2 linked regions of the Daphnia pulex genome follow. The main gene of each other region encodes a partner of the protein of the gene in region 2 in a complex. Links are inferred from orthologs where the notes say so. Each region holds a gene or a part of one and is shown on either strand. Other genes may lie near its edges. The genes, in order: eukaryotic translation initiation factor 3 subunit L-like and eukaryotic translation initiation factor 3 subunit J-like.

What was found.
Region 1: eukaryotic translation initiation factor 3 subunit J-like (region 2) and eukaryotic translation initiation factor 3 subunit L-like share a complex: the UniProt entries of both Homo sapiens proteins name them as parts of the eukaryotic translation initiation factor 3 (eIF-3) complex. The link is inferred for Daphnia pulex from reciprocal best matches to the Homo sapiens genes EIF3J and EIF3L.

What each region holds. Positions count from the first base shown.
Region 1 is NC_060018.1:1,452,548-1,456,858, forward strand, and holds eukaryotic translation initiation factor 3 subunit L-like, read right to left. Parts: upstream 2,844-4,311; 5' UTR 2,698-2,843; coding exon 2,674-2,697; intron 2,613-2,673; coding exon 2,413-2,612; intron 2,346-2,412; coding exon 2,134-2,345; intron 2,073-2,133; coding exon 1,953-2,072; intron 1,891-1,952; coding exon 1,781-1,890; intron 1,723-1,780; coding exon 1,552-1,722; intron 1,489-1,551; coding exon 1,318-1,488; intron 1,257-1,317; coding exon 1,110-1,256; intron 1,047-1,109; coding exon 883-1,046; intron 823-882; coding exon 654-822; intron 590-653; coding exon 455-589; 3' UTR 372-454; downstream 1-371. Other genes in the region: tubulin beta chain, read left to right, coding at 4,141-4,197. UniProt on the Homo sapiens protein: Component of the eukaryotic translation initiation factor 3 (eIF-3) complex, which is required for several steps in the initiation of protein synthesis.
Region 2 is NC_060019.1:7,843,095-7,846,575, forward strand, and holds eukaryotic translation initiation factor 3 subunit J-like, read right to left. Parts: upstream 2,259-3,481; 5' UTR 2,194-2,258; coding exon 2,172-2,193; intron 2,039-2,171; coding exon 1,944-2,038; intron 1,700-1,943; coding exon 1,640-1,699; intron 1,577-1,639; coding exon 1,384-1,576; intron 1,296-1,383; coding exon 1,125-1,295; intron 1,062-1,124; coding exon 871-1,061; 3' UTR 797-870; downstream 1-796. Other genes in the region: coiled-coil domain-containing protein 39-like, read right to left, coding at 1-89, 161-235; secretory carrier-associated membrane protein 2-like, read left to right, coding at 2,600-2,656, 2,826-2,933, 2,993-3,094, 3,155-3,236, 3,303-3,431. UniProt on the Homo sapiens protein: Component of the eukaryotic translation initiation factor 3 (eIF-3) complex, which is required for several steps in the initiation of protein synthesis.

The sequences.
Region 1 (4,311 bases), on a different chromosome or scaffold from region 2:
CATCCTTTTTGTTAGTGCTTTTTTTCATGAAAAAAAAACTCATATTCCCTACTGATGCTTTGACTGAAACTGAAAATTTTCAAATTGCCCTTGTGTGTTTGAATTCCCCTTGTTTGATTTTAGATAGCATTTTTTTTTTTTTACATTTCCTATGAGGATGCCAATGGTCTACATTTCTAGTAAGATCTTCGGTCCAATTATTTAAAAAATGTTCTCTAATAAAAATAATCTTATCATTTGAATACATTCAAAAATAAGAGAAACGTACATAACATCACTGGTGGCCTTACATTCATTTCATTTGACTTCCTTGTAACTTGTCGGACTTAAAGGTAAGAAAAAAATTCTCTTTAAAAAAAGTTAAAAATCACTAACTTCCTCCATGTTATGTATTTTGCCTTTGAAAAACCAATAAGATGTAAAACATATTTAAAGGAGGTAAAGCATCGGATTTTTAAACTTTTTGTGTCTTCAATACGCGGTTAATTTCCTCGAATTTATGGATTTGTCTAATGAAGTAATCACCATAGCGCCGAGCTACTTTCGTGTCAGCAATATGGATCATTCCGCCATCGATATAGAAGTCCACCTAATGCGAGCAAAAGCGTAAATAAGATACATTCCACTAGAACTACAATTCTAAGATATTTCACCTCAGAGCCTGATTGGAGTTCACCGTCCAATCCAGAGGTGCCTTTAGTCCAAACGACGTTCTTCATCTTATGTTTGAAGCATAGCAGATGGGTGCGGAAATCAGTATCGGGCATTTCCAAAAACGCAGCCATTTTGGCGACAGGCATAGTAGTGTACAAACGTAGATAACTAAACAGAAAATTTATGTTAATAATACTCGGACATTCAAATCTAATGTTGAACAAATACCTGCGAATCGTTGGCAAAGTAAGTTGCTGTTGTACTTCATCCATGAAAACTTTTGCCAACTGTTGAAATGGTTCACGGCGATGATCGGCAGGTGGTGCTTCGACAGGAGGTGGAACAGGAGACAAAAATTTCGGAGAAGCGAAAGCGAATGCATTTTCGAATTCCTAACATAATTGAACAAATTTAAATTGTTGCTTTAACTTTAAAAAATATCAACAGAAACTCACTTGAAGTTCTCCCTTTTGCATCCGCACGATGCGTTCGGCATGAGGTTTCTCTCGCAGGATCGCCTGTAGAGATTCGTCGATGCGCTGAGGATGAAGAACGAGGCACACCGACAGTAGAACGTACATTTTTTCGGTTTGTTTGTTGATCTATAAACACAAAAAAGGAGATTAAGATTTCAGTATTTCATTTCACTTAAATCTAATTGACCTGGTCATTTTGGTATGTTTTAGCCTGGTATAATGGCTTAGTGCGCTGGACGTAGAGTAGAATATGGGAAAACGTCCGAATAGCATCAGCATACCGCCTCATCATCAAATAAGCAAAACCAACATAATAGTAAGTTGAGATTTGGCAGGCAGGTACTCTGGAGTACAGAGTCTAAAATGAGATTGATGGATTACGTTTACAAGCAATGCAAATCATTTTTAATTTTGCGCTTACCTTTTTATTGAGTTCCATATTTTCAAGAACCTTAACAGCTTGATAGAAATCTCCTAATAATGAGTGGAGTCTCAGTAATCCAACAAGACTGAAGTAACCCAACATTTTATAAAGAGGTCGGCGGCCAAATTCTCCTGCTACGGTATCGGGATCATCACCTTTGGCGTATACCTACATATCGATTGTATTAATTTTAAATTACAACCAATAATGATTCTCTCCTTCTTACTTCCAATTGTTGGTTGATATTGGATTTGTCAACCAAAGAATACAACACATTCAATACAGAATGAATGTTCCACAAAGTTGGGTTGATTCTGATGAATTCAAGTTCTTCAGCTGTAAAAAAAAAAAAAAAATGGTGAGAAAAGAAAAGATGGAGCATAAGATGATGGGTGTACCTGATTTCTTATGAAGAGAACAACGAAAAAGAGCAAAAGACTGGAACTGGTAGACAAATTCATCAATTATTTCCCACAGCCATTGATGAGGAAGCTCCAAAACAACTGGACTTTTAGCACCTGTAGTAAAATGGTTTATGAAGGCTTTGGGCAAACATCTAAAAATTAGTGAAGTTAGTACTCAAAATATGGTTGAAAAGTTGACAGTAGTTGTAGTAAGACTCAAAACGTTGTTCAATTGTTGGTCCTCCTTGGATTCGTGCATAAATGTGGCGATAGTAAAGTTCCTTGTAGAGAATCAGAAACGGTTGATCATCATCCACTAATGGGGAAACTTCATCTGCATCAGGCCAAGGGGATGATTTGAAGTGCTCTTCAGTTAATTTTGGAAATCTAAATGGAGTAAAAAACAATGGATCAACAATTCAACTTTGTCTGACAGGCACTGTGGTGGGCTTACGTGTTCTCGTAGACATTCTGAATTTCATACAACTTTCCAGAGTTTACCATCTCTCGAAAATAAATAATGAATTTCTTGATCACATCCGGCATGCTATATTGAGCATATTGGGGAGCACTTCCATAGCTAGTGTATCGTTCATTTTCAGCATCAAGCCGTGGATCCCCGGTTGGCTCATAGGCATCGGCTTCATACTCGTACTACAAATGAAAAAGTTTTTGATGATAGGTACAGAACATGTTGTAATTATTGTACACTTACATCCTCAAATTCTTCGGCATACATCTTTTAGGTTTTTCAATACCGATAGTTATTAAATTTCAATTGAAAATTGCGGAAAATTGAGAAAAGTCCACGAGTAAGATTACTATTTCGATTACTAGTGGCTCTAGTGTCAAATAATAGTAGCTGCACAGCGTTGCCGCATGTACTCAACAATTTTCCAAAAGATCATCTGTCAAAAATTCGAATGTAAAAATCGATCGTCAAACTTATTTACTCCGGTTGAGATTAATTTACCTTAAACTTAACAGATTTCAATGCTAAACGGGACTGCCATTACAATTCTGTTTTTCTGTTTTATAGCAAGTATATCAAATCATGATCAAAAGTTGATCAGGAAGTAAATATTCAAAGAAAATGGTTACCAAAATTGTTTCAAATTTACGGATGAAGACATCAAGCACTCCAATAGCTGCATTCAGGCTGTGTTTCCCAGGAACCATAAAAACACTGCTGAGGTGGATTTGTTGCAGTTGCAGGATGGGTTGTCTAGACACATAAGTATTGATCGTGTCTGGCAGAGGTCTGCTACAACTGGGACCGAGTTTTTACGTTTCTCGCCGGCTCCGGCTCGTCCCCTGTCGCGTGATTCACCGGCATACATGTGTGTACTGCTGTCATGGTGATTATTTGCCATGTTTGGAATAAGTGTTTTGTGGTTTCATGTGACCATTATGCCTAATGCATTTAAGCAGGATTACATAAAACTATGCTGGAGTCAATGGTTAATAGTGCCGAACAGGTTTTATTACTTTGAAATCAACTCGAAAATCGCAAACCATGATGCCGTACAAACTGGTTTTTGAATTTATACGGTTCCCGGTTTTCTTTCCTTTTAGAGACGTAATTGGCAATATTTCAATCACATACCAACCACGGAAAAGGAATGAATTTTCAAAGCGTGTTATTTCTTACCATATTCGCCACACCGATGACAATAAGTGGGTTATCTTATCTTTAATCGAAACTTTATATTTAATTCTAATATTTTACTGAACTTAAATGGAAGCAGGCATTTTTTGAAGTTTAAGATTATAACGTTCAATAAAAGGAACTAGAGACAAACCAAAAACGTTGCCCTGCAAATATTTCTCTACTTATTTAGAATTTTGATTGGGTCATATCTCCGTTTTTTAATATTCAGCCAACTATATACAGAAACATATAAACTCTGCATCTCTAGGAGCAAAAAATAACCGAAACGCGCGGACGCAAATTTCGAATCTCCCAATAAGGATTTGGCTTTCATGTTTGATTTCGTGGACCAATGGCAATGCGCAACACAATCAAGCTCCGCCCTCTTGCACCCAAGGCTGTTCATGAGGTTATAAATGCCAGTCCCATTGCAAACGGAAATTCATATCCAGAGGATTCCAGCGCGAGGCACGTTGACCGTTAAACTTGAGAGTTTTTCTCTTTCAATTTCATTTCGAAAAATATTAGAAAATGCGTGAAATCGTTCATATTCAAGCTGGACAGTGTGGTAACCAGATTGGAGCCAAGGTAAATATTATATTTTCATTATTTTAGAATGATAAGATATTTGACATGGTTTGCTGCAGTGAAAGACCGGTGTGCAAGACACCTTTTTTATGCCCATTTGGCGCTAGTCCGCCA
Region 2 (3,481 bases):
GTGAGATCTTGTTCGGCAGTTTTAACAACATTTTCATTTTGATCGAGTTCCATTAGTAGCTGAGCGAGTTTATTTCGCTTGTCTCGGACCTGTGTACATTGATATACGATTTAATTGAAATCAATTCTGGATTTAAAATACGGGAAAACTTGTTGCTTACATTTTGTTGAAGCAGTCGGTTTCTTGCGTTTGCTAAAGGCAAAAACTCTGCTCCGTTAACTTCTTTTAGTTCCATTTTCTTGCTCAACTTGTGCTCTATCACTCCAGAAATTCATTAACGAACTTTCTCACAGTGAAACGCCATATAACGAGTTAGAAGTATCGACCAAACAACCACTTTTATGCCACTACTAGTCTGCTACTCAGCAGGAAACGCACGTGCTTCATTTATTGATTAGGCATGCAGCCGGCTGCCACGGCAACGATTTCCATTACATTTTAAAAACAAAACCCCCCTAATCCCCTCTCTTACGCCCACTGGGTATCAAATAAGGATTCACCAGTATACAAATTTGCGGGGTACTCAAAACTCAAATTTAAAAAAATAAATATTGAAAGTTATTTGCTTACTTTTGACAGTGTGTAGCATTCAATGGGACAAATACATCTAACTACATCTAACTTTACAACTGTCACCATCTCCTTTTTTGACGCTAAAAGTAGAAAACTGGAACGTCTAAGAAAATATGCAACTTAACTCTATATATTGAATTAGAATAATTAAGAGGGAGGTTTTAACTTTTAACAGAAATTCAATCTCAATATATCTTAAAACACTGAAAAAACTGACAAGAGCAAAATGGCAAAATCATACATTTATTTTACCAATAAACCTTTTCCCGCCAAAAACAAAAGAAAAACAATTGGACCCTACATGAAGTCGTCATAGTCTCCTCCTCCGAAATCATCACCGAAGTTGTCGACCATTCCTTTGTCCATTTTTAAAGCAACTTTTGTTTTTCCTTTCTTTCCACCTTTTGTCGCCGCCTTCACCATCTTGAGTTTTTCTTCGTGCAAGGATTTGGTAGTTAGACTAACTTTTCTAAGGACTTCGACTTCCACTATGTTGAAAAACTGGGATGTAGAAAAGTTTTTAGCAACCAACATTAGAAAATGTGACTTACATCCAATGCAAACATCTTTAATGAAGTCCTCTATAAAATCATTATAGCACGCTTTAGTTGACAATGACTGAAGTTTTTTCACCAAGTTGTTCTTGAATTCTGAGAATTCCTCTTTAGATGAAGGGTTTGCTTCATCTATGCTTCCCTCTGTAGGCAAACTACCAGTAATTCCTGGAAAATAAAAATAACATTGAGAACAAAATATAAAACAAATCATGCTTAGTGCAGGTCAGCAATACAGTTTCCTAAGACAACTTACCAAAGGTTTCCTTGGCCATTTCAAAATCTGATTCTTCAACTAGTTTTTGTCTCCGAAGCTTTTCTGCTATTCTCTCTTCAGGTGTCATGTTTGCTTCCTGCAATATTTTTCTGGCTTCAGCTTCTTCTCTGCTTTTCTTTTCTTTTTCGGCTATTTTTTCTTCTAATCTTTTACTTGACTTTTTTTTGGTAGCCTGAAAGTAACAAACACATTTTAAATTTTTTGGATACTTTTACGAGAGATCACATGTACTTACTGTGGCTGCTGCTTTGACTTCAGCAGGCTTATTTTCTGTTTCTTCATCTTCCCAGCTATCCTATCATTTATAAACAAGAAAAAATGATAATTTTGAAATCAATCACAACTTTATGTAAAACTCATTGAGCAATAAGAATTTTTTGGCAAAAGAAGACACATGGTAGTCAAGTGAAAGTTGTAAGAATTGGAGCAGAAATAGAAAGGTACTGAGAGAACTTTTTTTCACTACAAGCGCTACAAGGTTCTACCAAATTTGTAGATATACTTACTACTAATATCATCACAATTGAATTACAACTCACCTTGACAGGTTCATCTTCATCCTCACCTTCCCATTTATCTGAAATTATGGCAGTCGTAACTGGAACAGGGACAGAGGGTTCAAAATCTTCGGCATCTATAATCACCACAAAATCGTATTTGATTAGAGTATACGATTAAATGGAACTTTGATATGCACTATTGAGAATTTCATACAAAAAACAGGTGGAATTGAATAACTTAATATAGAAATAATTAAATAAAATCACCCCAATCCGCCTCGGCCTCCATCTTCAACGAAAAATCGTGAACACACTAGTGTCCATGGCAGTTGCCAAATGCTTTCACTTTTCTAATAATGTTAATATGTGCATTACAAAATATTAAATATAGAAACCTAACAATAATTAAATTTTGAAACTTTATTGCAAACCTTTTATTATGAATTATTTAATTTTTTTTACCTGAGATATCTCGTTAATCCCAGCGTTGCTTAGTCTAGTGTTTCTGTCTTCCAGAGGCGCTAGTGTTTGCCTGTTTCCGAACTGCTTTTCTCTGACATTACCTGTTATTTAGCAATTGATAGGAGTTTCTGTCTGTATTAGTTGAGTTGACGTTTCACGGTGACCGTCGAAACAAAAGTTACCGCAAATTGGAGTAACAAAGTGACCGAAGTTAAAAAAAGAAATATTTGATAATGTCTGGATTTGATCAGAATCCTTTTGCAGAACCGGCTGTTTTCAACCCGTTTGCGGTAGATTATTTATAATATGTATATTATACTTACTATTACCATACTAATACCTTGGTTGAAAACTGGTGATTCATGGAGTACTCGCCGCATACAATATGAAAGAAAACCTTTTGAAAAATCACCTTGTTTATTAGTTTAGTGGTAAAGTGGTTGTTTACTTTCACAATAGGATCCATCTGTCCAGCAAGCTGCAGGAAACAATGCTGCGAGAGCTCAGCAAGGTCTTGAAGAATACAACCCTTTTGATGGTAGTAATCAAACTACCAGAGTTTCAATGGTAAAACATAATTTTATCATGAAAGTGGGAAGTGTGTTTGATTTGTTACAAAATTTAAGGACCGTGTTGGTGGAGCCAATCCACCCCCAACAATTCAAGCTGCCCCAGTGATATCTCCAGGACCACAACAACAAGCAGCTATGTCAAATGCGGATTTTCAAGTATTAAAACTTAAAAAGAAAGAAGGAAATCTTTATTCATTATATTGCATGGTTTTATAGAGACGTCAAGAAGAACTAGAGAAGAAAGCTCAAGAATTGCAGAGGCGAGAAGAAGAATTAAAGAATAATGTACCATTCAACTGTAGGAGAGAACAAATTTAAATGAAACTTTACTTTTTAATTTCTGTTATTTACTTCTTCATTACAGCTCAGCGCAATAATTGGCCACCACTGCCTGACAAGTTTTGTGTCCAACCATGCTTCTATCAAGACATCAATGTGGAAATCCCACTTGAATTTCAAAAAATTGTCCGCATGTTATACTATATTTGGATGCGTAAGTTAAACATATCATAGATTTCTTGTTTAAGTTTATTTTTGTTATCA